3 linked regions of the Lepisosteus oculatus genome follow. The protein of the gene in region 3 interacts with the protein of the main gene of each other region in a pairwise test. Links are inferred from orthologs where the notes say so. Each region holds a gene or a part of one and is shown on either strand. Other genes may lie near its edges.

Evidence for each region.
Region 1: the proteins of dusp12 (region 3) and eif5 interact in binary tests that used the Homo sapiens proteins (3 or more experiments, as listed by UniProt). The two-hybrid records come from large-scale screens. The link is inferred for Lepisosteus oculatus from reciprocal best matches to the Homo sapiens genes DUSP12 and EIF5.
Region 2: the proteins of dusp12 (region 3) and ppp2r3b interact in binary tests that used the Homo sapiens proteins (3 or more experiments, as listed by UniProt). The two-hybrid records come from large-scale screens. The link is inferred for Lepisosteus oculatus from reciprocal best matches to the Homo sapiens genes DUSP12 and PPP2R3B.

The regions. Positions count from the first base shown.
Region 1 is NC_090703.1:6,763,082-6,774,236, forward strand, and holds the start of eif5 (eukaryotic translation initiation factor 5), read left to right. Parts: upstream 1-5,751; 5' UTR 5,752-5,852; intron 5,853-6,104; 5' UTR 6,105-6,313; exon of another isoform or gene 6,314-6,350; intron 6,351-6,490; exon of another isoform or gene 6,491-6,795; intron 6,796-7,573; 5' UTR 7,574-7,781; coding exon 7,782-7,853; intron 7,854-8,315; coding exon 8,316-8,397; intron 8,398-8,597; coding exon 8,598-8,770; intron 8,771-9,527; coding exon 9,528-9,639; intron 9,640-10,090; coding exon 10,091-10,215; intron 10,216-10,599; coding exon 10,600-10,758; intron 10,759-11,122; coding exon 11,123-11,155.
Region 2 is NC_090710.1:4,468,480-4,479,057, forward strand, and holds the start of ppp2r3b (serine/threonine-protein phosphatase 2A regulatory subunit B'' subunit beta), read right to left. Parts: upstream 4,122-10,578; 5' UTR 4,030-4,121; intron 1-4,029. UniProt on the Homo sapiens protein: The B regulatory subunit might modulate substrate selectivity and catalytic activity, and might also direct the localization of the catalytic enzyme to a particular subcellular compartment.
Region 3 is NC_090704.1:8,624,780-8,636,318, forward strand, and holds the start of dusp12 (dual specificity protein phosphatase 12), read left to right. Parts: upstream 1-6,251; 5' UTR 6,252-6,454; coding exon of another isoform or gene 6,455-6,485; exon of another isoform or gene 6,486-6,781; intron 6,782-9,389; 5' UTR 9,390-9,490; intron 9,491-11,539. UniProt on the Homo sapiens protein: Dual specificity phosphatase; can dephosphorylate both phosphotyrosine and phosphoserine or phosphothreonine residues. Can dephosphorylate glucokinase (in vitro).

The sequences.
Region 1 (11,155 bases), on a different chromosome or scaffold from region 3:
ATGAGCAATAAAAAACTTTCAAGGAAAAAATGCATTGCTCCTAACCTAACGCCACAAAATGTAATGAGCTCACTCTTTCCTTTTTACCATCTGGAAACTCCGTAATTAAGCAACAGATGTTTTTGTTTTGGTATTTCTTTATTCAATCAAAAACCCCAACCCAGAGGATGAGGTGTCACAATAACAATAAAAAAGGTATCAAAGGAATGCAATTTTTTTAAAATCTGGAACTGTTTCATTTAGAAACTAAAAAAGTGTTTCAAAAAGAAAAGTGGGAATCACCATAAGAAGTCACTAAATAATAACTAGTTTAAAATAAGCTGTATGGAAACCATCAGAACGCAAGCAACATCTTGTAAACAGTGTTAATAAATGTAAACAAAGGGATGTTATCTTAAAATGACAAATTCTATAGCTAATTTGAAATATTATGTTAAGGTTTGGTCGCCACGTCACAAAAAAAGGATCATGCTGACAGAGAAGATTGACCAGAGCATTAAAGGAATGTTCCACTTTGACAGGCTAATTAGGACTGAATCTTTTTAATCTTGAGAAAAGGAGCACGAGGCTGTCTGTTGTTTTCTGTTAATGGCCAGGATAATGGCTAGCACTTAAATCCTCAAGGCTCTTGAAATGGGAAACACGCACATTGAGACATTTGGCTAGGGTTGAGTCTGTGAGGTTTGGCCTTGCCACATCGCCAAGGTGCACTTTAGTGTCCACTCTAATTGTAGTGTTCTCCCAGCCAAGTCGGAACTGTGGTGGCTCAGATGGCAAGGAAGTCCAGCTGCTGACTAGAAAGTCCTGGGTTCAAGCCCAGGTAGGAGCTTGCTCTGATTCCATCCAGATGGCTCCCAGGTCCACTCAGCCTGCTTTCCAAGTGAGTACTGGGGTTAATCCTTCTGGGGGTAACAGGCTGACCACCTCACCTCCAGTGTTGGATGGTTGAGAGAAATGGTGGCCCCCATTCCCCCATGGGGCTTTATGGCCTGAAAAGGGACCTTCCTACCAAGCCCAGTTGAAGCATGGGCAGGACACATACCACCTGATCCTTGTGCACTCAGCAGAGGCAGACTAGGAAACAAACACCAGTTCTTCAAATCCCCCAGTTATTCTGTCTTTAAAGTGCACCTGCAGTCTGCCTCTACAGTACATATATGCAGCTAATTTAAAACAGTATTTAAAAGGGAACTGCAGTTCCCTTTTATTATTATTATTTAATAATAATATTAAATTTCGGTAACAGAATAAATATATTGATGTCTAGAAGACATTTTGTTGCCTCATTCTGGAATGCACAACATGGAGCTGCATATACCTGTTCATCTATTTTGTGATGTAAAGTGGAGGTTTTACAAGTTACTGTAAAAGTTATCTTACTTTTATTGTGGTTTGAAATGCACTAATCAATGCTCATGCGTTCCTGCCTAATCAAAACACAATTACAATTTCTTGAGTGCATACTGCCTAGGGAAACTCTGAAATCTTTTCTATCGCAATGCAAAAGAAGGAATCTTTGGTGGCTGCCATTCAGGAGCCCTGTGCACATGCCATTGAATTGCAGCAGATGCTTTTCTGAACAGCATCACGCCAGGCTGCAGGCATCACACCTGCATGGAGCTTTGTGCATTGCCACTGTCAGCAAACAGACAATTGCACCAATAATCCAGCCACTGCATTTCCATTCAGAGTTGCATTGCTCTCCATTTTGCTGAAACATTGCAAAAAAAAGTTACCAGAACCCTATTGTCTCACCAGCTGATAACATGCCTAGAGCTTTCAGGCCACATGCTGACCTCAATTCTGTCGGCAGTCCCAATATTTGAAGTTTTTACAAGTGCTGACCCAGTTAGTCAAGTATTGGATTGAACAGCAATTTAACAGCAGCAAACACCTGTCCCTTTGATCATGTTAGGATTATGTTTATTTAGCAATCACTTTTATTGCATTTCTCACTGAATGTGTCCTTGCTCCTTGCATAAGGGAAACAGGCAAAAGACAGGCTGTCTGAGGTGAGCACATCAGAGCAGTTAGGTAATTGAAGCTTTATTGAAATAATTATATATATATATACAGATGATAATACCATGCAAAATTATTACCTTAGAATTGCTTACAATTTAATTTACACAGTTACCTTATTTGGCAATGAGATACTGGTTTTGATATCAAAATGAGTTCATATCTCAGACACGTGAGGATGTGTTTTACAAACATTTCATTTGATTACCTTTGCCCTTGTCCACCATACTTTCTGTATAATGTTACATCATCATCACCCAATACAGGCTTTTTTTAGGTCAGTGTGAATTTCTCATGAAAAAATCCCATTAACCAATTTTTGCCACATGTCTATAATGTCAACGCCAAGTCCAATCTCTTTCAGTTTAGTTTGTAAAATTTGACCAGCGCATGCTGGCCGATCTGTTTGTGTCCCACCACAGGGGGTCAGACAAAGACATCGGAGGCCCACCTTGGCCTCAGATTTGGTCACTCCCACCCCCACAGATCTCAATGATGGCCAGATCCTATTATAACCTTTTCAGTTCCAAAGTGCTGCCTTGACCACACCACCCACTGGGATTGATCTCCCACTCTCCCTCGTTTCACTGACATTCTTATCGTTTCTTTTTTCCCTGCTCCGACTTCATTCGTATTAAAAACATAACAAAGGTTACGAACGAGAGGAGACCCTTCAGGTGACCTAGCAGCTCATTGATACAAGGATTGCCTCCAGTTGCCTCTGGAAAGAAGCCAGGTTAGTGTCTTCAACAAGCTGGAGAACTTGTTCCATACCTCCACAACTCTTTGGGTAAAAAAGAGCCTCCAGTTGTCATGTGAAGGGCATTTCCCCATAGTTTCAATTATGACCAAATGTGGAGTAATACCAAACTGTTAGACGTTCAGTTGTGAAACACAAACCTGCTTCTCCTTAAGCAATTATTCTTAACACAGGGCTGGACTATCATTTAAAAAACTAAGGTCCAACGATGAGCTGTAAGAAGGTCAGCTGTTAGACATGAGATTCAAACCTTTCCCTCCCTGTGGGATTATACTTATTCCCTCTCTTCTTTCTACACCTTGATGTGTGTTTCACTGATTTTTACTTTTTAGAGTGGAATTAACTTGTACGCGTTCCCAAAACAAATACAAGCATACTACTTCAGCACGCAGCAGAATGGAGGAACAATAATGTAAACAAAATAAGTAAGAAATGATTCACCAGATATTCACAGGCACAATGAACAGACTATGGAAAAGACAGCTTTTAAGAAGAGGCTGGGACTTCACTTTTACTATTACGTAATTTCCCTTTCTTCTCTAGCAATTACAATTATTTCCCTTAATCACCCAAAGATCTATTTACCCCTCTTCTAGAAAAAGGAGAGTTTCCCTAATTAGTCGGTCATACAGGAATATAACGTCTGTCAGTTCAGGCCTGCTTGTGTCACTTCTCCTGGAAATCAGGAAAGATGACCAAGTGCCCTGTTTCCAAGACAACAGGTTCTGCGCTGAGCACGACACACTGCCATCTTGTGTTGGAAGGAGGCAATGACCAGCCTGGGTCCTCTCACATCCTTTAAATAAGAATATAAGCCTATAAAATAAGGCTGAGCAAAACTCTCCCTGGCTTTTCATGACAAAGGCAATTTCATGACAGAAACCTGTGTCAGCGGGTGATACTCCCGCTCTCCCCGCTGACTGTTCCCCACAGATCTGCGGACAAAGTCTTAACCGAATTAACGTCTAGTGACAAAAGTCGCATCTTGTATTGATTTTGTTCTTTGAAGTCTGTTGAAACCTGTGACAGGAAGGAGTGATGTGCTGTCACGCTGGCTGGAGCCTTTCAAGTGCAAAGATGTGTTATGAAGGCCAGTGTGTGAGGGTATGGTGTTTATGCAATTACTTCCAAAAGTCAAGCTGATGTTGTTCTGGCTGTAATGTCAGTTGAGGACTGTGACAGGAAGTATGGAAATGGTGTCATGCCTGCTGTTCGACCTTTAAGTTGAAGAATGCTTTACGTGGCATATGGATTGCCACTTCCCCTCCGGAGAGGGGGTGCGTTTCACTAAATGCGAAAAAGTGTTTTTCGCCTTTAGAAATACGAAACATTCTTGGTTCTTCCTTACAGAGCAACACAAGTGAACGCACGCATACAACACAAAACGCACCATCTCTTGATCAGACGGGAGACTAGACTCGTGTGCTCTTCATGGCTGTCTTCTCGTCAGACCGTTGTAGGAAGCCCCAGGTGTCTATACTGAAAACGCAGCGCCACCGGAGAGCCGCCCGCTCTCGGACCTGTATCCCGGCGACTGCCACCTGTGGGGCTTGTGCGACAGTGAAACAGCACAATGAGATGCAAATCAATGAGATGCAGTCGGCAAGGATACGCCCCACACACACCCAAGCCTCCAGCCACCCACGCCGGACTGATGAGCGAAACTTTCACAACGAACAGAGAAACAGAAGTGGAGGGCAGAAGTGGAAACGACTTGGAAGTGCATTAAAAACTGAGAACAGGGAGCCACTTCTTTACCCACAGAGTCGCAGGAGTGTGGAACAAGCTACCCACCCATGTCTATGAAGCCGATACCCTGATTCTTTCAAGACTAATATGCGGGAGGGGTGTCCGTCATTGTCGAAACGTCCGTTAAATCACGAAGGACGTTTATGAACCCAACCACTCTACTACATGAATAATATATATATATGTATTCTTTCTGGATCTTTCGACTTCAAGTCAGTCAATGAAAATTATTCATGTGCCTTTTTCATCATAAGCAAGCTCTTTATTTCATGTATCGCAAATATACTGTAGAAAATCCGCTGAAGAGTACGAAACAGAAACAGCACCCATAGGCAGCACTTAACCTACCGTTATATGAAAGTATTGATATTCCTGAATTTTAAACCTATGTAGTAGTTTTCATTTTGCTTTAAGAGGTGTGTATTTCATCGTTAATGTGGGGGGAGTCCAGTGTTTCTGATTTTGTAGCCAGTTCCCCTTGAGAGAATGTCGTCTGACATTAAGTCCGTTAAACCGGGGGTTAAATGTATTTCAGAACTAACTATACGTTAAGTTTGTAAACTAGGGGGTTTTGTTTTTTTTCCCCAAGATGAACGATACACAGCCCCTTGTAATTGGATTAGGTTTTAAACGCAACTGGGAACAAGCCTCCATAAAGATCAGTACGGTACTGCTGAAGGGCATCAAGCTCGTCTGCTGGGGTCATCCATGTTTTAATTGACCCATCGTTTTGTATTTGTTTTTTTGAAAAAGCTTCAGCGGTACAGAATTTGTTGAGCGTATGAATGTATTAATGCGTGAATTAAGACAGCTGCCCAGACCTTTGGTTTTCTCGAGTTAACAAAATAATGTTTGCCAGTTCGTCTCGTGACTGCTCTACATGACAACCGCTACGCACATCTAAGCAAAACATGTATAATAAGACATGCGATACTACATACAAAAATACCACATTTAGAGAAAAAAAAAGCGGATTTAGCGTGGTGATCGTAATACTCATATTGTGACAAAAGGCCCCCCAAAAAAACAATTAGAAGATTAACGCGAGAAAACAGGAAACCAGCCCAAATCCCACCGGCGGCGTAAACAATATCGCGAGACTGTTAAGATTCACGAGCGCCGTGAGAACCCCCCCCCCCAACCCTGTTGCGAAAGATATGGACAGGTACCGCCACCAATAATATCGCCGCTCTTCCCCGACGGGCCAATCGCCGGCGAGGAGAGGCGGGGTTGCGTCGACGCGATGGCTGGATTGACAGCGTCATTACTGGCCGAATATCATTCTGGCGACGCGCAGCTCGAGCGAGAACGTTCTAGAGAGGTAAGTGAGCGAAGGGGTTAGAGGACGCTCTAATTGGTGTGAATAAGGCCAAATAATAAATTAAGGGGGTAATAAGACCTTCTATGGGGATCGCCGAATTGCCATTTACGCCTCATGAGGGAGCGTTGTTTAAGCTTGAAGGCTTGTCTTTTGTAGCCTATCGAAACGTGTGGTTACGCAAGTAATCGAATCCGCTCTACAATTAACGCCGATCTGTTTTCCTAACCCCCTCACCCTGCCCATTGTTTCCAGATACCCCATTTTTGAGGGCGTCTCGTGTTTCCCCGAAGGGTTTTATTACTCTGCACCGGAAAACTCTTGCCTCTCCATTACCGGCACCGTCGTCGTGCCGTCCTCGCTTTCTCCAGTACTCAGCCGACCCCCCCCAGCTCCCAGCACGAACACTTCACTGCGTCTCAGGGCGACCAGCGGTGTGTTTATGTCTTTATTTTACGAAAACGGTGAGTACCCGGACGACAGGAGCGACGGATGGGAAAGGTATCGTTTTCCATGTTTATTTTAACCCTTCTGTGTGTTGTTGTGCGTCTGGTTTCGTCCCGTGGTCGGTATTTGGTGTGGTTGCGCTGGAAAATGTGGCGTGCGTGTGTTCAAAATGTGGATCAAAATGGCGTCTCCCCCTTGCACCGTGCTCCCCGTGATAAAATTAGTGTGACGCACTCTGCACCATTTCGCACAATTAGGTGGCCTGTTGTGACTAACCTCTTCTTCTTTAATTAACGGCAGCCTGTACCGCTGCTACCAATCGTTTTTTGTGCCGTTTAACTTGGAGACGCGGATATAAAGCGATGTGCGGTTTCAAAAGTCACCGTGCCCCCCCTCTCTGTCCGTTTGTGTCGCTGTCTGTTTCGCTTCGCCCTTTTTAACTTTTGGGTTGCAATGATGAGTCATCATTTGGAAATACCACCGCTTCAAGGACGATAAGGTTTGACCTACTTTTCAGAAAGTAATACAAATTGTATTCGCTGCGCAAAACCATTACACTCCCAGGAGTATTTTTCATTCGTTGTATTTGAAGGCGTTCCGCTTGCTTTGAGCTGCGGTATTAAAATAATGAAATCAATGTATAGATCGACGTGTTACGTTTTCCGTTTTGCTCTACAGTTTTACGCTGATATAATCTAGTACGTTTGTGACCTCTGTGGCGAAAAAGACATTCATGATAAACGTTAGATGGATTCACAGCGTCACCTGTTATTTGCTTAGTAGCAGCAGCTCCTACCCAGAGGGGCTTGCAAAGCAGTCACAAAATCGATACGGAATTAAAATGCAGTAGGAAAAACACTTCAGGAAGATACACAAGACAAAACTGGGTGAGCACGCGTTGAGACGTGCGGTGCAGGGGGGGGGCGTTTTAAAGTTTGGGGAGGTGTGAACTCCCCGACATTTTAATCTTTAAAATGTCTTGGCCAGTGTCCTTCAGAGATAGTGGATTTAGCAGCACGTGGGAGGCAATGTAGTTCGGTTTGCTTGTTTTAGTTTTCATATCGTGTGCATGTCGTGCATTGCTGGTGTTCTGACTTGCAACCAAAATGTATTTACATGCTAAAGTTGCTGTACCCCAGAATTAAATTGTTTTTTTTTTTTGTTGTACAGTCAGTGTTTCTGTTTAAGCCATTTTCTTAAATAGTATAGTCAGTGTTTCTGTTTAAGCCTATTTTTGAGTGGGGCTGTCCCTAATGAGTCTTTATTCTGTTTTTCAGAGCTGTTGCGCAGCTGTTGGAACCTGTGTGGGGGAAACTTAGCCTACAAGCAAGGAGCTTGCAGCCTCAGTGGCGAAAACTTTTTCATGTCAGAGACCGAGTACACTTACAGTCGTTTATGTCATCCACTCTTCTCCAGACAGAAGATACCAAAAAATTGCAATCCAAGATCTTCTTATCTTGTTGATAAAGCTAATAGCGAGCCAAAATGTCTGTCAACGTCAACCGCAGCGTTTCAGACCAGTTCTATCGCTACAAGATGCCCCGTCTGATTGCCAAGGTGAGGAGGGGCACAGTGGGCTCATTTGACTGAGGGAGAGCTTGGCAGCTTCTTCTAGTGTTGTGAATGACTCAGGACTGCAGTGTTGTTTTGTTCTCAGTAGAAGACTCCTGGCTTTCAGAACTAAAGCCAGATTCATAGCTCCTTAAATTAACCAACTGTATAGAGGAATGCTAAGTAACTGCCTTTCCTGCTCATGTGACTTAGTTGGTTAAATAATCCTTTTGGATGGGGGAACTTTATTGCATACCATCTGTGTCCGCTGAGTTTAGTTTTAGCATTTTTAAGGTGGTTGGGATTTGGAACTAGCAGTTTCCCATCCTAGCAACTTTAAAAATGTAGATTGTCATTTAGGCACTTTATATCCTACTGACATTTTACAGCTGTCTTAGAAGTGTGAATTGATTATTTTTGTGAATTGCAGTCAATAATCTTTTTTTAATGTCTCCCTTCTCTAAACAGGTGGAAGGCAAAGGGAATGGAATTAAGACGGTTATAGTCAACATGGTTGACGTTGCAAAGGCACTTAATCGGCCTCCAACGTGTAAGTTCTAGCCTTGTATCCTTGCAGGGGCATTTTTGACTGACTTTTGTTAACTTAGTAATGGTAATCTGAATGCCTGTTAAACAGTATTTAAAGTTGATTCCTATTGGAAAGAAGCAGCATTTGGGGTAGGGGGGGTAGTGCTGGGTTGCTTTCATTACATTCCACTTGCTTCAGTTGTACGTTTTACTCCATTTTAGATCCCACCAAGTTTTTTGGTTGTGAGCTGGGAGCACAGACCCAGTTTGATGCTAAGAATGACCGCTACATTGTCAATGGATCTCATGAGGCGAATAAGCTGCAAGATATGCTGGATGGATTCATCCGAAAATTTGTGCTGTGTCCAGAGTGTGACAATCCGGAAACTGACCTGGTAAGTGCATTTTTCCTCTTTTTTTTTTGTGAAATCTTGAAAGACCTTCTGTTGCCAAAGCCCAAATTTGCCTTGACTTGTAACTAATAATGGGGTTTTGCTTATAATCCACTGACTGTCTTATGGAGAGGGGTAAACTCCACTGCAGTTTCCTAATTGTATTGAAGTGTTTAAAAGTTCTTCAGAATTCAAGGCCGCTGTCCTTTTGTTGTCTTTCCTCCTATACACACAAAACCTGTAGCCTTTAATATACAGGGTTTAGGCTGGGCAGATTTGGTAGTAATGGAAGCACTCTCCTGGTGTCTGAATTTGAGACCTGCAGTATCCGTTTTCCACTGCAGAGTTAGCCTCTTTTTTTTTTTTTTTTTGCATAACCCTACTGCATTGCAGTTATGTTGAGCTCCCCAGACTTAGACTATCTAGGGCAGTTCTGTTTACCTCCTTTGTGGAAGATGTAGAGCACAATGCAGTTAAGTTTGCTACTTCAGTTCAGTTCCTATGTTACCCCTGATATTTCATAAGCATTTTAAAACTGTCAGGGTTGGTCTTTTGTTATGCTTTACTGGTGCTTTGGAGCAGTTGGCCTAGCTTAAGTGTTTTGTGGAAGCTGAATACCTAATGCATGACTTGTTTAAAACCAAAATGACTGTCTGCTTTGTGACTTAAACAAAGGTACATGTGTAACTAGCTGTCTTGTATGTGTATATTATTCCTCTGTGAATGTTTTTAATTTGGGATTTCTTCTTTACCTTGGTAGCATGTCAATCCTAAGAAACAAACCATTGGCAACTCTTGCAAAGCCTGTGGCTACCGGGGCATGCTTGACACACGACACAAACTCTGCACGTTCATTCTTAAAAACCCACCAGGTGAGTGACAACCCACTTAATGGTTTTTGTAGCTTAAACACATTTACATTAGCTCTTGATTGCATTTGGTGTTCAGGCCACCAATAGATGTATGAATTTACCATGTTTTAAGAACATGCGAGGTTACAAATAAGGAGGTCATGCAGCGCATCTAGAATGTTTGGTTATTAATAATTGATCTCAGAATCTTCCTGCTGTTTCTTGACCGAAACATTGACCTTGTCTTTGTCAGCATGGCTAGATAGTTGCTTCCCAGATTCCTGCAGCTTTTTGCAAAAAAATTAACAGCATGCTTTTTACACTCCTGGTTGTGATACCAGCCAGATTTAAACCCATTTCTTAGTTGTAGTTTATCAATATCTGAAAATCTGTAGCCTTAATTTTAGTGATATAATTTGTTAATGGTATGTTTGGATGTGTTCATTGTAATAACTTTTCCTCTGAAATGCAGAGAATGAGAGTGGATCCGCTAAAAAGGAGAAGAAGGAGAAGAATCGGAAAGGTAAAGACAAGGAAAATGGATCCAGCAGTGGAGAAGCTGGGAATCATAATGAGATAGATGCACCTGATGCCGTAGTAAGTACATAATTGCTGCCTTGGACTTTTGTGTCCTGTTCTTATTCGTAAGTTTAAAAAGTGCTTTAGAAGAAACAAATTGAAGCCAGGTGTAATGGAAGGTAACTGCTGCTTGAAATTCCATTCATTCAGATAGAGCTTGGCCTTCATTTTTCTTCACCCAACCCAAAGGATTTACGGTCTTTTGATTTCATCCAGCAACGTATTTCCAATTGAATGTGTAGTTATGAAAGTACAACTCTGACTGTATAGTCTTCTTGTAAAAACTTGTGAAAGTATGTCTGTAGTTCTGTCTACAGGATTCAAATTGATGAGCTGTCAAAACATGCATCAAGTCTTGTGAGTTTCTAGCTCTTTCATTCACTGAATTTTGCACTTGTACAGGATGGAGATGACGACGATGACTGGGGTGAGGAGACCACAGAGGAAGCTCAGAGACGCAGGATGGATGAGATCAGCGAGCATGCCAAGAACCTGACTCTCACTGACGACTTGGAAAAGACCCTGGAGGAAAGAGTCAACATGTTTTACAACTTTGTCAAGGTGTGTTGATCAGCATGTTTGTTCAAGAGCAAAACAATTACATAGCCTTATTATGAGTACTGTAAACTGTTGGTTTTAGATGAATGTTTCTGTTGATCCTAGAAATTGTGGTACTATAGGAAGTGAAGTTTTAAATTTTATCCAGGGCATAAAGTACCATTTTTGATTTTAGAAAGTTTGTTTTTTTCTGGCAGCTCTGATTCTGATAGCAGTTAGAGGAGAAGCTGAGATATTTGGATTTTACACGTCCCTCCGATAACTACTAGTACCGATAACATGAAAATGATTTCTATTGCTTCTAGTTTACAAAATGGATTTAGTATTTTGTCTCCAAAATGATGCATGAATTCATTTTTTTTTGCAGCAAAAAAAGGAGGGTGGAGTCATCGATACAGCA
Region 2 (10,578 bases), on a different chromosome or scaffold from region 3:
GACAGACCAGTTTCACAGTTTACTTCCTAACCATGCCAATTCTTTTTCCTGCTCTGGCCTACTGCTTTCCTTCAGTCACTTCTCGTTACACAGCTAACCTGTTCCAATGCTTCACCTTCACCTTGCCACTCAAAAACCACCATTACTTGCAACTACGTTTTTGCCATTCTGATATACCATACTAACAGCTCCCAAACATGGGTACCTGCAGACACTTAACTGGAATCAATGTTTGTAAATATGGCAGTCAGGATACACATAACACCTCTGAGTTCTCACTTCTGACTTTTGCATGCGCTTCATGGTTTTCTGCTGCATTCTTTAGCTGCTCTTCAAACTGGACTGTATCTCCAGTTGGTAAACATAACTCAGATCCTCTGAAGCCACTGGACTGTAAATTGAGAAACAGGATGCAGTGAAATATTGTTGTCAGGCCTGGTACCTCAGAAAGCAACTCAGGGCAGATATTTAAACCTTTATGCTGTTAAAACTACAACAAACAAACCTACCTGGCATTCGCCTTAACCTCAGAGGTATAGCTGCAGAAGCTATATACTAACTGAGCACTGACATGCACAAAACAGTGATGAAAGCACTCCTGATATTTTCAAATTCCTACATTTTAGGGATGCGTTAGACAAACGGCAAAGCAATATATTCAAACTTGGTACTTGCATTCTATCCCATTACAGGAATTTAAATAACTTATAAATTGTGAACAAACGGATTGATCCCAATCGGTGATTAAGCCATGTGCCAAAGTCCACTTTGATAATTAAGGATCAGCTAGAGCAGTGGTTCTCAAACTTTTTGGATCAAGTACCACCCCTAATCCAACCAAAGCATCCAAGTACCACCTACAAGTCATCTTCTCATAGGAACCCCAGAAATTCTCAATAACCAACATGAGCGCGCGTGCACACACTCACACATACATATAATAAATATTGTAATAATAAACTTAATTTGACATAGCGCCTTTAAAGGTGGCTTCTCAAAGTGTTTTACAGAAAAAAAAACATTAACAACAACTAATAAAAAAGCACCATTTCAGTGAGAGGGGTGAGCCTGTTTAGTTGAGCAAAGAAGATGTGAATTAATTTTTCGAGCCTTGATACAATTCACAACAGAGTCTAACAGATATTAAATCGTCAGGCGGCAAAGGTGTCGCGGTGGATGTTGTAATGCGTACATTAATTTCTGGAGCAACCTATCTAATTCGTGCAACTACACCGTTATGTCTGCTTGTCATTGCTCTAGCAACGTCTGTACAAACTCAGACGCATTTTATCCAGTCAAGGCCATTCTTTTCGATAAATTAATTCAGAAGCTGAAATATGTGCTCTCCTGTAGTTCCTGTTGGTAGCGGTTTACAGAACAGAAAGTCTTCATGGGACATGCCCTCAAACTCGTATCTAACATAAACGAGCAAATTGGCCAAATCGACTAGACTCATCTAATTGCAGTGAAAAACATCTGCTCATCTTAACGTGCTCTATCAGTGTACTTTTGATATAATCCTTCATTTCAATAATTCTATGAATGACTGTGTCTTTCAGGGGGAGGGGGGCAGCAGGTCGCTGTTTAGCAGCTTTTTCTCTACACATAATACGTGTCAGCTCTTTTGCCAACGGTAAATAAGGTTCTTCAAAAATAGTGTAGCTTACCTGCTTTAGCAATCCGCAAGCTTGCATTTTTCCACGTTTCCGTTTTTATTTCCGTATTTATTTAAAGTTTTTATTTCATGTGCATGGGAGCGTAACACAGAGACGTTCGGTGTATTTTTCTCAAATTAGAACAGTTCTTAAATATTTTTCTGTTATCACGCTTTTGTGTGCTCACAAGATTACCTGCGTTCGTAGCACGTATTTCTATGCATTCCTGTGTTTACAACGTTAGCATTGTTCCAAAATCACACACATTCTCCTTCCTCCCTATTTGCTGGAGATACAGTAGCTTTTTTTAAATACAATTGGTCACTTGCATCCGTAGCACGCATTCCTATAGAGTGGTATAGAATTACAGAGTATCTCTTCTGTCCACTGAAGTATTAGCGCGCACTGTATCGTAGTACGTAGGCTGCGTATTCGACACGTATTAAAAATATGAAAACCCGTCCCGATTTTTCAGCGCACACGACACAGTTCCAGGGTCATTTGGCGTACCACTTGGCGGGTCTCCGCGTACCACTGCCGGTAAGCGTACCACAGTTTGAGAACCACTGAGCTAGAGCAAAGATTTCCAACAGAATGGAACGTGATAAGATTGACCAGCCCCAACGATATGTCAAGGAAACCTCGCAAAATAGATGAGCCTTCTTTTAGTTAAAGACAAAGGCAATAGAAAACACAATACACAAAACAGAGCCGAGACCAACACTGCAGCACCCTAACACAGCACCTAGTCCGATACAGACGGTTGCGCAAATACGATACTATGCAAGACTGGTTCTTAACTGCCGCATGAAAACTGTTTCAATGATAAACCTCTGCCTTACTACTGAGCTGTACAGTACGTTGAGCTAACACGGCAACATCTACCTTTATGCTATTAAAAATAAAGGGTAAAAATTCTATTTAAAAAAAAATCTTCAAAATCGGTAACAACCATTTTACCTGCAGATTAAATGAGACGTCATTTAGAAATTGCATACATCAATATTAAGGGCTGTAGAGAATTAAATACATTTTAAACTCCCGGGACATGGTCTCTGTATAGTTAATGTTAAGGAAGTCAATAGTTAATGTTGCTGAAACGAAGGTATAACAACCAGATTAACAAACTTTATTTATCACTACTAACTGATTAGATATTGAAAACAGGCTCGCCTGTTAAATTAGTTCAAGTTTACTGTCACTATACTCATATACAGGTATATGGTATAACGAAATGCTATTTAGCTAGCTCTCAGACGATGAGTAGTACAGGAAAACAACAATGCAACTGTATAATAAAAGAAAGACAGAGACAACAGGCAGTGCGCAAAACAACAAAAGGTAACAGGTAATGTGCAAAACAACATCAGATGTGCAAAAACATGCATCAACAGAATGAAATAAAGGATAGAGAATTATGGAGAGTAAGCTTTTTGACATGTGAGGTAGAGGTAGATTTCAGTGTGTGTTTGAGTTTTGGGTAAGAAAGGAGGCACTGTGAGGTTCAGACGAGAGAGGCTGGGGGTTTAATAGTGTGATGATGGTGCGGGGGTGAGGGCGGCGCCCACGCGCTCTTAAATTAAGTTACTAAAATAAGTTAACAAAACAAGAAAGCAACGGATACGCGCGAGTTTACAGTTGCTAACCCTAAATGGGACTACAAATGGTAAAAGCATGTACACCACAGAGGAAGAATACCGTGAGATCAAAATCTGTGAGACTGGATTTCAGTTCAAGATCGTTGGAAAGCAAAGACCGCCTTTAAATTGAAAAGTAAATGTCAACCAGTCGCAACACGACACCACACAGTAAACACAGCTGCGCGAAATCAAATATTCGCTATATTTAATCTTCTTTAACAAATTAACCACTACAATAATAATACTATCAACTATGAATCATTGTGCATCACGGATCCTAAAAGGCGTAGTAACCATGAGCTCATCTGCCGAGATGGAAGACTCGCTCGCTTTTTCATGCCACCTCGCAATAGCTGCCTACACTAAAGTTGTTCGGACTCTTGTTTATTTACATAATAGCTCTTCGTACAACCAAGTATATTCGTCTGATACCATTTCAACCCCTTGGATGCAATGCTCGATATATAATACAAGTGCATTGTTACAATGTAATCACCGATGGTGTCTTGGACAAGACTTTGCCTGTGTCAAAGCACAATAAAACTGTGCAAAACTACGATACCTCTTACACAACCCACGGGCCTAGTTCCCACAGACGCTGGACACACACACACCGATCCGAACCGGTGCACTTTCCCGAAGGACATAAGCTATTTCATATGGCTTAAGAGCTCGGCGCTTATTGGTCTGAATTTAGATCCCCGCAATTTTAACATTCAAGTAAAAGAACCTACCCGTTTTCCTCTGCAGAAAAAAGACGCTGTACAAACCGTACTATTCATGTCAACGCGGTTATCTTTGAACTCAAACTCTCGTTTTTCCCAAGGTGGCCCAGCAGTACAACTATCGCGAGACAAGGGTTTGTGTACTTGTAACCATGGTGACCCGAGCACTGTCGCTCCCGTTCTGCCGAAAATGTTCTGTATATTTGAATAATATACATCGATAAAAAAAAACATTCGTACTGAGACGAGAACAGCTGGTAGTCAATTTGTTCTTTTTGAGTTCTTAACCTTCGTAACCTGAGAGAACATATGTGAGAACGAGTGAACATTACTAATGTTCGCGGGATAAATTACATTTAAGCACTTCCAGGCTTACTTATCGATAATAGTAATCAATTATAACAAACGATATCTTAGAGGACTATAAACTAAGATATCAAAATGTTCTACACTGATTATACACAATGCTGATTCTAGAACAAGCTTTTTAAACTTCTGTTTTTAGTAGGCTATATAAAAAGACAGGGGTAGATATCACACTCTATTGTATAATTATATACCATGTTTACAGTCCAACTATAGTCTTATAGTCTGAAGTCTTATCGGCCCTCTGTTTTAATTTGGTTGGGTTGCTAGGGGGTAGTGAGGAACATCAGTTCTCCTATCAGTATCTTTGGCACCAGGATAAAGACTGAAATGAAGAAGGGATGAGGTTTGAGGTAATAAGAACATAGTGCCTTTTGCTGTGGATACGAGGAGTTAACGTGAAGGTCCCCAGTATTCAGAAAATGTCTTCATCCCTGTGGAGGTAATTAACTATGCAGCTACACTACCAACCCCTCCAGCAGGTGGCCTCACAATATCTCTGTTGTAGTGCTGAGGGTTGTAAAAGACGACCTTAGTGACTCCATTACATGCAACTAAATGGGGTCAAAAACTATTCTTGAGCTGTTTCACAAAACAAATACAGTCTGGGGAAATATGCTTCCTTTTTTAAATGTCGCACCAATCAGCTATTTTTATGTTTTTTACAGACCATCAATAAAAAACAAAATGTCTCAAAAGGTTTCTCTGTATGACATTACACCCATGTAGGTCTCAAGATATTAGGACAGCCCTCTTAAATGAAAAGGGGAGTGAAGTTTGAGGTTATGAGTGTTTATTTGAGGGTCTACTCTCTGATCTGGAGAAGGGTATACCATGAACAAGCGGATAAGATGCCGAAAACTGGAGACCAGGAACTGTAAAATGCACAATGCCAGCTTTCATGGCATTTATTATTGCTTTCCCATTGTGGTGCATTCTGATTTGATTTGATCAGTTAATTGAATGATTGATAAACAGGTCACTGCAGTGATGTGTTTTCACTATACTTTTACTTACCTTTTTAAATCATTTTGGCTTCTTGGTTTTTGCTCCTAGCTGGATTCATATTCAAATCCTCCATATCTTATTACTTTCAGTACCCATTATATATTATTTTCTGGTGGTTTTAAGTTATGTAGAGATGTAGTCTTGACATTTATTAAAAATAACTAAAATTAGTTAAATCATTTAATTAATTTGAAAGCCATTGAGACTTTCAAGTACTGCTATGGTGATCCTTTTTATGTGGGCAGGGGAACAGAACAATTAAAATGGTTACTGGGAATAAAGACTCTACTAGAAGGTACTTGGCATGCGTTTGCTTTATATTAAAAGCATGGAATGGAAATTGAATAGAGACTGTCAGGTCCCAAAGCAGTCATAATGTTGGCAGAACTAAGAGCCAAGTCTCCATCAGCCAAGTGGCAGAAATGCCTATATATTACTCAGATGCCAGGGAGTTTATTACAAGGCTTATTGTAGTTCAGCTTGATTTGTCATTAGTACAAGAAATAATAATCCCACAATTCCCTGTAGGACAGCAACAGGATTGGTTGATCAGAGCAACACCAAAGGGAGAGGGACTAGAAGGGAGAAGACAGATGGTGCTCACCATAACCATCCTGTAAATACACAGGAGGTCATTAGCTTGGATTTGACTACAGAGCCCACTAAGGGAGCCATCTGATGATCTCCTTGTAATATCTTAAGCTAAAGCAAATAGGGAGGTGGAAAAGACACAGATGCACACAGGAACCCCGCACAGAGCATAAACAGGGAAAAAAATAGGCAGATAAACCAACTCATGAATGTGAAGATCCATATGTTTGAGAATAAATATATTTTTTTCCTCTGTGAAATAAAGTGCATTACATATTTTCTTGTTCTTTTTACATTCTTCTTAAACCTGTTTTAATCCATCATTATAACTAGGCCCAGGTTTGGTTTTGGAAGGGTTAAATATCACACTTCATCATCATTCCTAATGGTCTCACTATTCTAGAACTGCATCTAGAACATAAAGGCTACCAATGAGAGGAAGCCAGTCCACCCATTTGCTCATTTGATTCTTAGTAGTTTGATCCATCTATCTATTGTCAGTCAGCTTTTTTAAAATTGAGAAACCTGTTCATGAGCTTATCTCAAAAGGCCTCCTTCTATGACTTGACAGCTCCTATCATCATCAATTACTCCCTTCATGCTACAGATCTTTCCGACAGACTAAAGCATTCAACCTGGCAAAATTATTCAGCCAAAGGTGCCCCAGTTCCAGGTACAGTTGCGAATAACCTTGCATTTAAGAACATGATGTTCTATGAAAATAATCCATGTTAAACACACATTTTCAATAACAATCTGCTGCTCTGCTTGAGGTAAGGAAGGCCTTCTTTTTATTCCCCTCCAGCTATCACCATCTTTCTCCATGTGAGAGATAAAGTCACGCAGTGGAATTACAGAATTGGTAATTCCAAACCCGCCAAACCTCCAATACTCTGAACTGATGTTGGGCACATATAGGCACAAATAAGTCAGGTCTTTCCCCTCTGAGACACAGAGACACTCTTGTGCACAGGGACAAACTCAGCACCCAGTCATGGGTATGTGACTGACAACCCCTCACACCTTCGCAGGCCCACTCCAGAGCAGCAAACAGACCACCCTCAATTAAGAAGGTGAGACAAGTATCTCCTTGGCACCTTCCCAACTCCTCCACCAAGTCTGATTCCTTCCTCACCACAGGAGTGACACCCCAGGTTCCAATAGTCAGTTGCATTTACCAGTGCCCATTCTGTTGGGATTCTTCACCCTCACTCTTTGCTTTGTGGATGTTGGGCCTAAATGTTGTCTCTGTTTTGTGCTGTACCCTGAAATGCTGCATGTGCATGCAATGTGGCCTGGTCATCAGGCGCTCGTAGGTAACGAGCACAGGGGTGGGTCCTGACATCTACGATGCAGGTGAGGATCTTTATTAGATCAGCTGTTTATTTGAATGGTGAAGGTCTCAGATGTTTTTGCTAAGTGATAAGCTTCAAGGATCACTAGCCATAACCAGGGGGTTCACACAAGCCACTCCACCATTTCAAGGTAACAGTCCATGGGGGGTTGTGGTCTAATGTTTAAAGAATGTTGTCTATTCCTTTCTTAAAGGATCCCAGGAATCAGCTTCCATCACATCACTTGGGAGAGCGCTGTTTACATCAGCAAGCTGCTAAAAGGAAAACAGCCAGTGACTCAGCCGGGAAAGATCCCTTCCAGCATATGATGAACCATCATAATCATGTGACCTTCAAACAACATTGCTAACTCTATTAATCATTTTGGAAATTCCAGAACAAAGAAGCGGACGGGAAAGATTGCTGATGACCCCTTCCTAAGCAGGTTTCATTAACCTGTTCCATAAACTTCCTCAGGGAGACGCTATTAAAATCTGAACAACCCGGTATTTGAACAGTTTCTTTCCTGGGGCTGTTTTTTTATTTAGCCAGGATTCCTAATGAAATGTGCACTGTCTTAATAAAGCCTATTGTCTTGTGTCTGTGTTGTAATGTTGTGTAGAACAGGACCCTATGCAGACGGTATAATCTGGAAGTGAGTGGAGTAGAACAACGGGGAAGAGACGAGGATCAGGAGGGGTTGACAAACAGCGGGGCATGACGACAGTGAACTGGTGCTCGGGGGGCGTGGCCATGGCAAACAAGTCCAAGGGAGTCCGGGGGGGAATCTGGGGTGAAGTCCAAAAGTCCTAAACCGGGTAATCCAAACAAGACGAAGACAAGACACAGTTAAAAACCGGAAGGGACGGGGAATAAAAGCAGGATCACTTGGCCATGCGCTCTGAACCCCGGCCTATGCCCTCAAGCTGCGGACATAGGGCGACTTGGTGGTAGGCGGGCCTCTGGGCGCCCGTCTTCCAATGCAGAGCCGGGAGTAGCAAGAACGCCCGCCTTAAATAAGGTGGGGCAGGATTGAGGGCAGGTGCACGGAATCAGCCAAAATGTGGAAAGAGCCTGAGCACCCTTAAGAGGAGGGATTACGATCATGATATGTGTGCTATATGTAGAATGTTTTTGCTGCATCAAGTCCACCAGAGTAAATTCCTTGTACCTGAAAAGAACTTGACAAATGAAGGCGTTTCTGATTCTGATCGGTTCTGCAGCTGGATGTCTGAGCCATCACACCACACAGATCAGGTTACCCAAGCATCTCACCCTTCTACCACCTTTTATCTACACGAGAGGTACTGTAGATGTACAGTACTGGCTTCCTTTAGTTAAGTACAGTGGATGACTTTTCTTATTTGTTGAGCAACGGTGGAGCGATTTATTATTCATCATTACTGTACTAAAAAAGTAACCACAATTTTGTCAGACAGCCTCCTTTCTGGAGTGAAGACTTAGGATGGGGGGGGGGGATTTTTTCAATATTGTACTGTTTAAAAATATCAGCCCATAAGCTATTCTGAAACCCCAGACACTGAAAATATACTGCACTTTTTTTTTTCAAAAACCATAGCTCATGTGGTTCATTGTGGTCTGAATAACAGTTTGCATAAACAAGGTAAGGCTTTCAGCTGCGTGACAGATTTTACAAAGATACCAATATGTGAAACTTGCTTTAGCATAAACCTCAAGCACAGGTGTTAGGTTTCTGTAAACATGGGAAGAAAAGCTAAAAAAAAATATGTAAACAAAACAAAATCTCTTAAGATGCACTGGAAGTCCATTTAAAAAAAACACAACAGCCATCATTACTTACATTCCTGTAGGTGAGTGAAAGCTACTTCAGAATTTTAATCATCTAAGAAAATCAGATATAAGGTCAGTTGTGAAAATTAACCCTGCTCCAATTATCGTTTCATTGGTAAAACAGCTTAAGACACAGAATAAATTAGTGTAGAACGGGGAACCACAGAAATGTGGAACATAAAATCAATTAAAAAATGAAATAGGTAATAGGAAACATAGTGAAGCACAAAAGCAACTGAATGCTGAGCTACAAGAACAGTGAATACCTTTTTTGAGTAGGTATTCAGACTAGCTTTTTAATGCTGTTGGGTATGGAAAGCAAGCTGGTGTTTCTCTGGGTATAGATCTGGGATGACTGCTAAGGTTTAGTTAGCTATGCCAATTGATCTGCTTTTCGAATAATATCAGAGAAACCCTACAGTAACCTGTGTCCCATCCGATAAGCAGCGAATCATCAATGATCAAGAGCAAGAGAAAAAAAAAGACGATCCCATCACCACGACAGGTCACGTCATGAGTGACACTGCGGACTACTGCATACAGTGTGTTTTACCCCATACCTCTGCTGAGATGTGAAGATGACTCCACCAGACGCACCACATTCAACAGTCTCTTGCCAGTCTTTGAAAAAATGCCATTGAGCATTAGGAGTGATGAATAATCCCTGTAACATACACATGAAGGCTGTAGTTACAAAGACTGACAGGAGTCGGTTCAATGAGGACCTAAATTATGGGACAAAAGACCTTAACGTTTTAAATAAAAGAATAAAAAAAACATCATATGCAGGAATGTTTTATTTACACTGTTATACTTTCCAAACTTCTTCTGATCCTCTAGAGGCCTTACGATGTGAAATGCCCATTACATGGGTACATAGGTCATATTAGTAAAGCATTCTCACATACATTTACATTTAAAAAGCTACAAATGATTTCTGGGGTTGGCACAATTCATACTGTATGAATTTCTACTTTCATTAAGGGATTTTAGGTTTAAAAATCTTTTGAGCACTAGGTGGCCCAGGAGTGCCAGTTGTTACATCGAATTTGAAGAATAATGTACAGTACAGTACTTTTTATTTTTCTTATTTCCTTTCCTTAGTAGGAATGAAATAAATTTAAAATACTAATAATATACTAATAGCCGGGATCTTGGAACACAAGAATAACATCATACAATACACGAAACAAAGAAAAACTCAGGGAAAAAATATTTTCTTGATTTTATTCGTGGTTGAAGTATAACAAATTAAGAAACTTCATAAACGTATAGTACACTACGCCAACTTTGTGCAGCTCTGCTGGGGGCCTCTGTGACCAATTTTATTTTAAAGCATGATGGTTCAAATCATCACACTGCAAGCCTTGAACGAAGTGTGAAAACCTCACGCTTTCATCTAGTTCAGTCATTGTCTGGTAGGCTCAGGAAGTTAGAAGAGTTTCAA
Region 3 (11,539 bases):
AACTAAGGCATCAACATGCATTTAAAAAGCAAATAGACAGTTTTCTGATGACATGTTTCTGATGACAGATTATCTAATGATTAACCAAAAGTGAGCAGAAAAGTATAAAATGACACAGAGACTGGAGGGTTTTCAGGCTGCCAGATTCCAGATATGCCAATCTAACAATGTTTTGATTAATTCAAATACTTACCAGGTTCGTTAAATATTTTCTGCCTAATTCTTTAAATTTTATCTCTGCTTCCTAAAACAAAGACATCTTGAATATGCGTGGACTTATTAGACTAAAAAGCATGGGCTTGAAATGTGATAATTGAATTTAACATAATGTTAATGATAAAGGGTTTTATTTATTTTCTCAATTTAAAATACAGTTAATATAAAACTAAGAAAATACAAGCAAGGAATGTGGCATGGTTCTTTTTCTCAATCTGTCTCACTCAGCTGTTTATCTAATCATTCACTGTGACTACAAATGTCATCTTATGCACAAGATCTAGTTTTTCTTTCATTTTGAAATAAAAAAAAAAACTGTCTTAAGTTTACAGGTCTTCACAATACGAATTTATGTCCCACACAAATAATATAATATACACTGATAGATTAGGTCATTTTAGTTCAATCTCAAATGTCATGATAAAACTGATTCAGCTGTAAGTGGCTTTTCTTTTATCACAAAAAATATATTGACAGTTGAATGTCACATGTATTTGTGAGACAGACTTAATCTACCTGTTTGAAAAGAATTAAGAAATATTCATGAGTAATTTGAGCACACGAAGCTTTAAAAATAGCCTGATCCCAACTAGAGTGAACAAAGAAAAGTACTAATTTCACAGGAGCTGTGGTTGAACACTCTAGGATGAACCAAGCATGGCCAGCTGCTACAAAAAAACAGCTTATCGTCAGCCCGACACTATGACAAGACAGAAAATTTACAAGATGATACTTAAAAGTTCCTATCCGAACACAAAAGTGAACACACATAGGAACTGAAAATATGAATATTACCTTTTAATTTCAATAAAAAAAAAACATGCCATTCTCTGAATCTAGGATACTTACAGTGCGGGTAGCCAGAAGATCCAGTAACATTTTCAAAAGGAGTTGAATGTAGTGGGTGCCACATAGTGAGATAAACTAAATCATTTCCAGCACATACAGCAGACAACAGAGCTGTGAAACCCGACACGACAAGTGGCTAAACAGGAGCGAAGATGCAAAAAACAAAAGACTGTGCCCGGTGCTGGATTAGAAAGATTATCTTCAGATCAGTCCAAGAAGAACCGTTTATTGCTGCAGATCAGATTATTTTTCATCAGGCTCACAGCGTCAGTACAACTATCTGCTCAGGAACACCTGTTGTTTTAGCAGCATGTTTTTCAGGAGCTAAATCAGCCTACAGTTCTTCCAACGATTTAAGAGTTGCAGAACGCAGGAGTATTATCTGATTTGGCTGACATTTGGCTGCCACAGTAAAACCTGGGTGTCTAATGATATTAAAAATGTGAGCAAATAACCTCTGTAGCTAACATTTAATTTGCTTATGGAGTAACATTAAAATTCATGGTCTTCTTTGTTTTCAAGGTATACAGTAAGTTCTTTTTTCTTAAGTCATAATCAGAAGTAAGCAACTGAAAGTGTTGCTTCTTTCTGAATGTCCCCAGTAGCTCTGTAACTACGAATGCTGTAACTAGGGCACATAACATGCTCATTAGAAGACAGAGTCGTTGCACATTTGGTAATTGTCACAGTTGCGCTGCATATCAGTGCATGCTGAATGTTATCTAATAGATTCTTTATTTCCATTTCTATCTTCTTCTGCACTGAGAGAAATAACACAAATTAAAAATAACAGACAAATTCAACTGCAGTAGCTAAAAAGGCCCCAGTATACCTAACTGTAAGAGTTCTCCAGTTTTGGGAGTTACGTTTTAAAGCGATAAAATATCAGTAAGTGTCCACTGCCAAAAAAAAATAGATGTTTAACCAATACAAACCTCCTTCCAAACAGATTTATACAAAGCAATTTAAGCAGAAACCACTTAACCACTTCCAGGTTATGGTACTGCTTTTGCTGTAATGCAAATAATGGCTGCTAAATGTATATACAGTAAAGTATATTGTGTGCCGTGTTGACATCCTGTATTACCATGTTAATTCAAAAATCACATTTATGAATTAAGTTGATGCCTCAAGATCATAAAGATAAACATAATGTGTAGAGATAAAAAAGACTTTACATTAAGAGCACCCAATTGGTCACATCAATTTAGAGTAATATTAAATCTTAATATTGCTTTCTAGATTTAATCTTCCTCAGGCTTGCTTGATTTTTAGTAAGTAAAACATTTGCTTTTCTCTATGAATCTGAGTCACTTTAAATCCATTGAAATCATAACTCACAATAGCCAGGCTGGGAACAAAACAGATCACATTATGCTTTCAAAGTGCATTACAGGTGAGCCACCAAATCAATCCCTCTCCTAGAGTCCCTTTACAACATCTGCTGATAAAAATGGCATTTGCATACGTAAAGAGACAACATGGGCTTTGTACCTCCTATTAAAGCACATAATTAAATAAATGTTAGCGGTACATGGGTTCATGTTTCAAAGACAATAGCGTTTGTCTTTGAAAGCATTTCAAGATTACATCTCAAAGTAGCAAGAAGGCTGTGAATCATTTCGGCTTTCAGAGACCCACTAGAAGATTAAAGTAATAGAAATTCAACTAGGGCTCAAATTCAATCAGAACATCCAACCTACTGCCAATTACAAATTGAAAAAGTAATACTTGATAGGGGCTTTTCTTTGGGTATCTAGCAAACAATAGGTGGCCATCGAGAGACACATTCTGAATATGGTCAAATCTTGAATTTAATCCAGATGCAAGAAACACAAATATTAATTTCCAGAAAAATATCAGCAAATGTGGTAACCCAAACACAAATTGAGGCATGTGAAAACAAAAATTCCAATCAAGCAATTTGATTTTAAATTTTAGATTTACAGTATTTTTTTCTTCATGGAATAAAGGATACTGTATCAAGTTTAATATAAGGAGGATAAACAAAAGTACATACTATCCAGACCAATTACATTTCAATTTCCACATCATGAAAAATAACTACATTTTCATTTTGCACTTTTTATAGCATTACTTCATCACCATACAGTATTTTATATCTACACAACAGTAATTAAGCTTGCACAATAACAAGGAACATAACATAAATGTGTCTGACCAGCTGGCCTTAAATCACATACAGGGTTTGTTAGTTTTGATACTATTAGATAATACCAGTGAACTGACTATCCTCTGAAAAGAGCTTGACTTCATTATAACCAAACTGTTTGGTTTATAAGACTGTAGGTTTCAGAATCAGAACTTCTTATTTTTTCAGGCTATGACCTATATATGATCAGTCACATACAAGCTTTACTACTAAACTTTTATTTTAAAACACAATCCCAATTTCCTTCCATGTTTCTGAAACTAGAAAAAGGTCTTAATAAGCAGTATTACACCTTTGGACATGAAACAAAACACAGTGAACCAGAAGATTATCGTACTCGGTACATAATGAATTGAATATAATTCAATTAATTCATTGGTATCAGCAAGCCTTGAGGCAGACTGTGACATTAGAGAACATTACGGACTGCAAGACAGAACAACCATGTTACGGAGACATTTTGAAACCTTATAATAGAAATCAAAAGTATCCCATTTACAAAGAATTGAGGGGAGAGGAAGAAGTATATTACAAGACGAGTTGTTAATGGATGCTGTGAAAATGAACTACAACCCTTTTTTTTTTAATCTCAGTGGTCAGCAACACAGAAGGATCCTTAGATCCTGTTTTCTTGCAACCTAGTTCATGAAAATCCACAAATGCTGTCCCTGTGTAGATTCCGTAATGCAAAAGATAAAACATAGCTTAGCTGAGAGCAATAAACAATCCTCGTTCCAATTTCTTATGGAGTATTTGATGAAATAAATACACTCTCTTCCACAGCAATAATGTTAGAAAATAAATTAAAATAAATTTTAAAGTAATTTCCTGGAGTGCAATGAATTTGGTGACTTTCTGCATTTCATTTAAGCTGTGTAATTTTAGAGGTACATTTAACACATAGAAGGATTCACTCACATTTTGTATAACATCTTATAACATCATTTTGTATAATTATCTCAGCAAATGCGGTATAACAGTTTTTAATTTATTTAGTAGACAATTTATTTTTCAAGATGCTATTATAATTCATTATGACCTCTGACATGCTTACCAGACAGTAAAATATTTACTGATCTCATACCAGTGGTCACTGGGAAGGCTGATTTAGTTTAAGTGCGTCTGTATGTAACTTTCACATTAAGCAATTTCTCCCAAGGACAGATGACACTGCATGTTTAACCAACAGAATGCAACACACTCTGAAACTAGTCAGCTTGCAATCATGCACTGTTGTAATAGTGTAAAGCAATATTTTTTTAGTGATTCAATACTGAAGATAGCACATTATAGTAATATTTAAAATATTCCCAAAGTTGTCCAAGATATCCACCATCCATCGTCAGTCCACTTATCCTGGTTTGTAGGACACAGCCACATATCCAGTCATTCCCGTGAATGTTAAATGTGAAATTCCACAAAATAGTCTTTGACATCTACAGCTCAAAAAATACAACACTAATATTAATATTGTTATGACTCCTAACTTTCACAGATGTTATAAACACGCAATTTCTTGCCTGAAAAGCGTTACTTGATGCTTTAGAGAACACTAGAGTAACACGGCTATCCAATCAGAAGCAACAACTTTAGATCATATCAGTGAGTATAATCAGAGACCAAGGTTTAAAACAACAAATCCACTGTACTCTGTCATACTGTGGAGCAGCAAGAGCTCTCAGATCTTCAAACAAGGAAATTATTGACACTGGATGTCAAAGTCCACAGTATCAAACAAATCTCAGGTTAACACAAATACATTCCACACAACAGTTTTCTCTGCCCTACACAACACTATGCAGCAGCAACAACTGTAGGCCTAAATATTAATTTTGCTGAAGCCTTTACCCAGAACAAAATGTGTATTAAAGGACAAATTTAAGGTGACATTGAAACAGTATTCAGCTATACAGTTATGTTTCCCAATTTTACTATCACTTTTTAAAATCTTTAAATTAGTATTTTAAAACAGAGCTTCACAAATCCTTGCTTTAACTGTATTAAAAGCAGTTGTTGACAAATAAACTATTTTTAAAGATAAATCAACATGACAAGACTTTAGCCATAAATCTATCTTAACCACAGCTGCCAAATAACGAGAAACATCTTTATCTTTCCACACATTTATTTGGCACCTTCAGGTTATATAGGTTATATCGTGGATGACCTCCCTAACAATTCTTAGGCAGCAGTCACTCAGTACTCAGTACTGAATTCAGACGTATATAGAAAAAGCCATACAGATTTTGTTTCTGTATTCACTTAAGATCTTTCATAAAAATCAACTTTCGTTGACTGCAATTCACGGAAACAGCGCAAAAACCTATGGAAAAACCACATGCAGGCGCTGTGTCCTTACATCTTTTCCATAGATGGAACAAGAAACGAAATATTCAGGTTTGTCCGCTTTTTCTCAGGTTCAAGCCATCGTGTTGAAAAATAATGTTCCATTCCCTGTCTATTTGTTTAATATCAAGCCTTAGCACGGTGTTGTGTATCAATGTCTGTAACGGGCAAATTATAGCATCAAAATTGCAAAACATTCAGACGTGCGACTACATAGATCTGTCCCAAGAAATCTGGTATTAAGCTACACACGCATGTGGACTCCTTAACAAATATGCGTTATATCTGTACTTTGAAAAAAAAAAAAACTAATGTATTTAAGGCAGTTGTACTGTGCCCATTAAGACGTCTTTTCTAAAAACTGTCCAGCACTGTACATCAAGTCCCATTTAGTTAGGTTGGCCAGTTGAACTTTTCTGCAAAGTGGCAAAAAGTCCCAGCTCCTCTTACAAGTACTTGACGTCTTCCGTACCATTGCAGACTAATAAATAGCCATTCAGCTGCAAACAGTTTAGTAGGAGACGCGCTAGAAAGGCCATATATTACATAAGAGTAATTAAACTGCTAACCCCTGACCCTGTCTGAGAGAGGGAGAATTGCTATCACCTGACTTTCTACACTGGCACAGCCTTCTTGTCAATAAACATTACTGCAAGACAAGTGCTAGCTAAACAGATAACACGGCCATTGGATTTATATCCCGTCTAAAGTCCGCTGATGGAATTCAGTTTGCCAGACCCTGCAATTGGAAAAGGCAGGGGAAGCACGCCGTGCAGTACATCGCAAGCATGGCACACGGACGGGAAAACTAAATAACACTGCACAAGGAACCGACGACGGTGAAATGTTCGAGGCGGAAAGGCCACTTACTGAGGTGCAGAAAAGCGTCATTATTATCCATTGCGAGATGAGTTTATTTGCGGGGTGGTTTCCTTAGGGTTGTTGTAGCTGCGCCCGTCACAGACAGCAGCATCTCCCTCTGAATTCCTCTCCCCAACCCGACTGAACTCTCACTGCTGCTGCAGCAGGACTGGCACACAGAGGGGCCCCGCTAAGGGGGTGGCGAAAACTGGGATAATCCCAACGACCGCATCACTCGCTGTTATCATCAGATCAGGGTTTCCGTGTAACCGCCCGGTTGAAGAGCGGTCGCATCCCCGGACAGCTCTTGTATTTATTTTGGACATTTTCAGATTTTCTGGGAAAGGACATTTCGTGAAAAGAAAGACGGAAAATTTTCCATCCCGAGTGGTGAACGTCGGCTAACCCAAGCGCGCTCTCTCCTCCTTTAAACCACAAAACGCGTTTTTATATCTAACGGTGTTATGTTTTACGTTTAAAATAAATAACATTGTTGGATTTTGTTGTCTAAACATTTCATTATCATCAAAAACACCCAGAGTTTTAGTTCTTGTTTACTGATATTACAGTAAAACATAATTAAGCTCATACTTGTTACAGTATCAACACACTTAAACTCAGCCCCCCGTCATTTTATCGAGGAAATAATATTGTTTGAAATTGACGAAATGAACGTGTATAGGGTAATGCTGCTTTGAAAAGGCTGTGTTTTAGTAACAGCTACTTTGAAATTCAGGAATCTTGGCAATCAGGCTGCCAAGTATTCGTGAAAAGCGCTTAATTAAAAAGTCTAATTTGACGCTTTTAAAATCCTACGGTCATATTCCATTATAGTAGCAGTAAAGTAAGGCTTTATTCGCACGTCCAACATTTTACAGTTTTAATTACCATGCAATGAAAAAAAAAATCATTTAACAACGCAACTTTTAGGTAAAAATTAAAAAAAGTCATTTATGTGTTTCTAATGTTTCTGTCCTTTGCTAATTAAGATACCACATTGACTTTAACAACAAAGTAATATTATTTGAGATATTCCCAAAATATCAGTAAAAGTAGTTTGTTTACAATTAGGATCTTGTAACAAAATTGCAAACAAAGAATGGAATATGTTTACCAACATTGTAACCGTATTTTTGTAATACAGTCGCTATTCGTGTTTAAAGATGAAGGGTTTGAGGGAGAACTGGTCAATTTATTTAAACACTGAAGTTCTCATTGTTGGTCTGGAGACCCCTTGGAAGCACCCAGATCTTTCCTCAGAGTTAGGGGTCATTTAAGGGTGAGCTCTCAGTACCTCAGAAGGTTACACAGGAGTCACCAGCATTCACAATCTTGAACTCTGTTTCTGGAGACACTCCGTTTAGTGTTCGGGATGACCACTCAGCCTCCTTGCTCTTCAATCTAATGGGAAAGGCATTTCGGCTCCCACCCTTGTAAAAACGGGTCATAAAAGAACACAGGAGGATGCTAACAAAGACAAATAGCTTTTTTTCCAACTCATTCCACACTAATCAGGGCTTTTCATTTCTGCCCCCATTAGATAATGTAAATTCATGAAAGTCAAAGAAAAGGACTAAATGGCAATTTATCAATCTCTTCTTTTATCTCTCTAATGGAGGCACATGGTTTGGGACATAACCCTTGTTATATTTTACTCTAATCGGCTTTTTTTGTCTGTGTAAGTTAGCGTAAGGTTCTGTTATGTAGTTGTCGTTTAGACGAATTATGTATTATCTGTACTCTTTACGGTTAATCTGTTGTATCTGCGTGCAAATACTGATAAGTAGATTCACTAAATTAGGTGCTTCTGGAAAGGAAACCTTTCATATCAAACCTGTACTGAAATATATATAGGTATTGCGACCTATTGTAGAAATTTGAATAAAATAATACAAAAGTCTTCCTTTTGGTTTGGAAGATTAAACAGTATATTCCACAAGACTTCTGTAAGCTCAGACAAACCTACCAGCTCTTAGCATTAGTTTTAGAAAGCAATATGCCTAAAAATAAAATTGATGAAAAAATACACTTGAAAAAATAATTTAAAGAAAATAATATAAATAGGTGTTTGCGCTGTGATTTCAAGAGAATAAACCTTATTGTCCTGTTCTTGTGTGCATTTTGCAATACAAGTACTGTACTGGAGGTGCATGTAGATTTTACCTTTTATATGAAGAAATAAAAAAAATCTTTAATATATTTCTGTCACTTAATGCAATGTCTTGGGGTTTTTTTCTGACCTGGTGCTATACAGCCTAGCAGCCATGAATCAGACAAAGGGGTATTTTATGGAAAGTTAATGACTCAATATCAGCACCTCACTCCTTGTTTTGAAAACCTCAGGACAATAAAGTGATGGTGAGAAAAAATGACAATAATATCACTATTTGACTGTAACAATTGGCCTAGATAATTCAATATACCGGGTTCACCACACCCTCCTGCTTTCCGTCATCACCTAAAATCTCAAAGACCCTCCCCCCACAGCATAGTCAACGATCCAGACCTCCTGTGGTAACCCTTTTGTATTCACAACACTATCCAGCCAAACAATGACCTCTGTACTAATCCCTCATCCCACACTACAAACCTGAACCACCTGTCGATGGGCACAAACAGTAGCAGAGCTTGCACTTTATAGGATTTTCACAAGTAAACCTGTCTTGGATTCTTCATGGAGTAATATGTGCTGTTCTTCAGGAGGTGTAATTGCATAGATCTCTTCTGTTTTTTGGTGCTTAAAAAACATTTAATTATTTCATCCCAAAACCTCCCTTTGGACACGGTTTTGAGATATTCTGTTGCACTTTTTTTTCTGTTACATCTCTTCTTAGTTATTAACACACTGACTTTATTACTTTGCATTTATAATAGAACTTGATTTCCTATAACACATGGAGTTCAAATGTAACAGTCTTTTATATAAATCATTTTTTCATTGCAGGTTCATTCCAGGTGGATGCTGCACATTGGTGGTGGTGGAGGGGAGCCCCCATTGCCTGTAAAGCGCTTTGAGTGGAGTGTCCAGAAAAGCGCTATATAAATGTAAGCAATTATTATTATTAATTTTACCATTTTTTCCTGCTGAAGTAGTTTGAAATTTGAAGAGAAAATGCTAGGAGGAGACAATCTGTTGGGAAATATAGGAACTTAGTATTTCAATTTTCCATGTTAGCTTCAGCAAAAAAAAAAAGGATCTTATAAAACACTTGGACTTGTCACCCGCTGTGGAAAATTACCAACAGCAGACTTGGATGCCATTGTTATCTATATAAATTGAATCTGAATAAAATTTCATCTTCCATGATATTTTATTACTGCCTTCTAATTATTGACTAGGACTTAAAACCAGCATATTTCTACAACAATTCTTTAAAACAGTAAATTGTAACTATATTTTGAATAACTTGCACAATTCATAACAGAAAGAAAACAGTTGTGTGAAACTACTGATAAAACACATACTGATATGGCAAACGCTATAATAATATTATCTTCATTGTTTATTCTTAATGTCCAACCCCAACATACCAATTAGTTGCAGTGGTAACGTTTGTTTATAATGCCGAGGCAAATCAAAGGGAACACAGCCTTTTTGTCTAATCTAAGACAGAATGATTTTGGCTCTGCTAAGAAAGCATTTTCTCCATCTGTCAAGCATTCATTAGTTAGGCACATCATGCTTTATCAAGTCCTAAACAGGCCAAAATGATAAGTGCATCCTGCTGGATTGTGGCTGTGATGAGACCCTAAACAACAATTTTAAGTATCATCAATCTTATGGGTCATCAATCATGAAAACAAAAGATGAAAAATGTTCATGCCTCAGTTGTTACGTCTTTATTTTTACCTTAACATTTTGTAAAGGCAGACAGAAAAGAAAATCTTTCATCAGTGGAAGAATAAGAAAACCTGCTGCAGTAAAAAAATGTTGTTGTCCAGGGGGCACAAGGCTCCAAGGTTTATTTCAATTTCATTTCTTTTGTCATTCTCTATAAAGCCTGTCATCTTTCACTGTAGTACTGATTACAGATCTCCAAAACTGGACTTGCCAAGGTTTTTGTGTATGTGCAGGCACGAAATGGGGCTTCTCCTTTCATAAAGAAAAGGAACAAGCATCAGTGTTGAACCTTAAATATCTGTGTTAATTCTGATTCTAATGCAAATAATTATCCGATGAGAGTGAATGTCTGGAAAATGCAGTCATATTCATAATTTTTTATAAAACCATTCATGCTTTTGTTCATTTGTAATAAAAGACAATAAGAGATTGATTAATGAACAAAAAATTGTGTGTGAGGTGTGTGACACCTTTTTATTCGTCTAGGTGACAAATAAACAGCTTTTATCACAAAGATTGAATGCCTTCACAACACATTTGTTTCTGTTTGTTCTTCAGAAAAGTTCATAATCATTCTTTGGATTCTAAAGGACAGTGTGTCATGGTAATCACCTTATGGTTTTCATGAAATAGAAAGAAAAGTCTTCAAGAAAGAGTGTAGAGATGTATGGGATTTTCCCAAACAGAACGCATATGAATGCTGGGTTTAAACACACACACTTCTTTATGTGAAAAGTTTACCACAGTGGAACCAACACACAACTTCTGTGTTCATATAGTTAATTGATTTTTTTACATTTTTCTTACAAGGTAAGCCTTGCATTACATATTATATAGTTTTCAGTGTAAACTCTATTTCATGTTGGTGTCATACCCATTAACTTCAGTTTCTTTGTAGAACAAAATCTTGTTTTCATGTTCTCGTCTAAGAAAAACAACAACATGAATCTTTCAATACCATTACTTCATAAAATGCATTGTATTTCCAGGTATAGTAAGATATAGACAAATGTAAAACCGAATTGGAGCCATGGGATTTTCTTTGCAATAAAGGAGTCCTTTGATTTCAGTATCGAAGCATTTACAGCTAGGAAGTACATTGAGCTCAAGAGGTTTTTGAAATTAAATTAGAAAAATAAGATTTACAAAGTTTATACTGTTTATTGCTTCTCTTTCCTGTGTGGTTGTTTGAACTTCATACTCTTCCTGAAAGCACACAGAAAGTTGTTCTTATGCAATATAATTGATGAGGA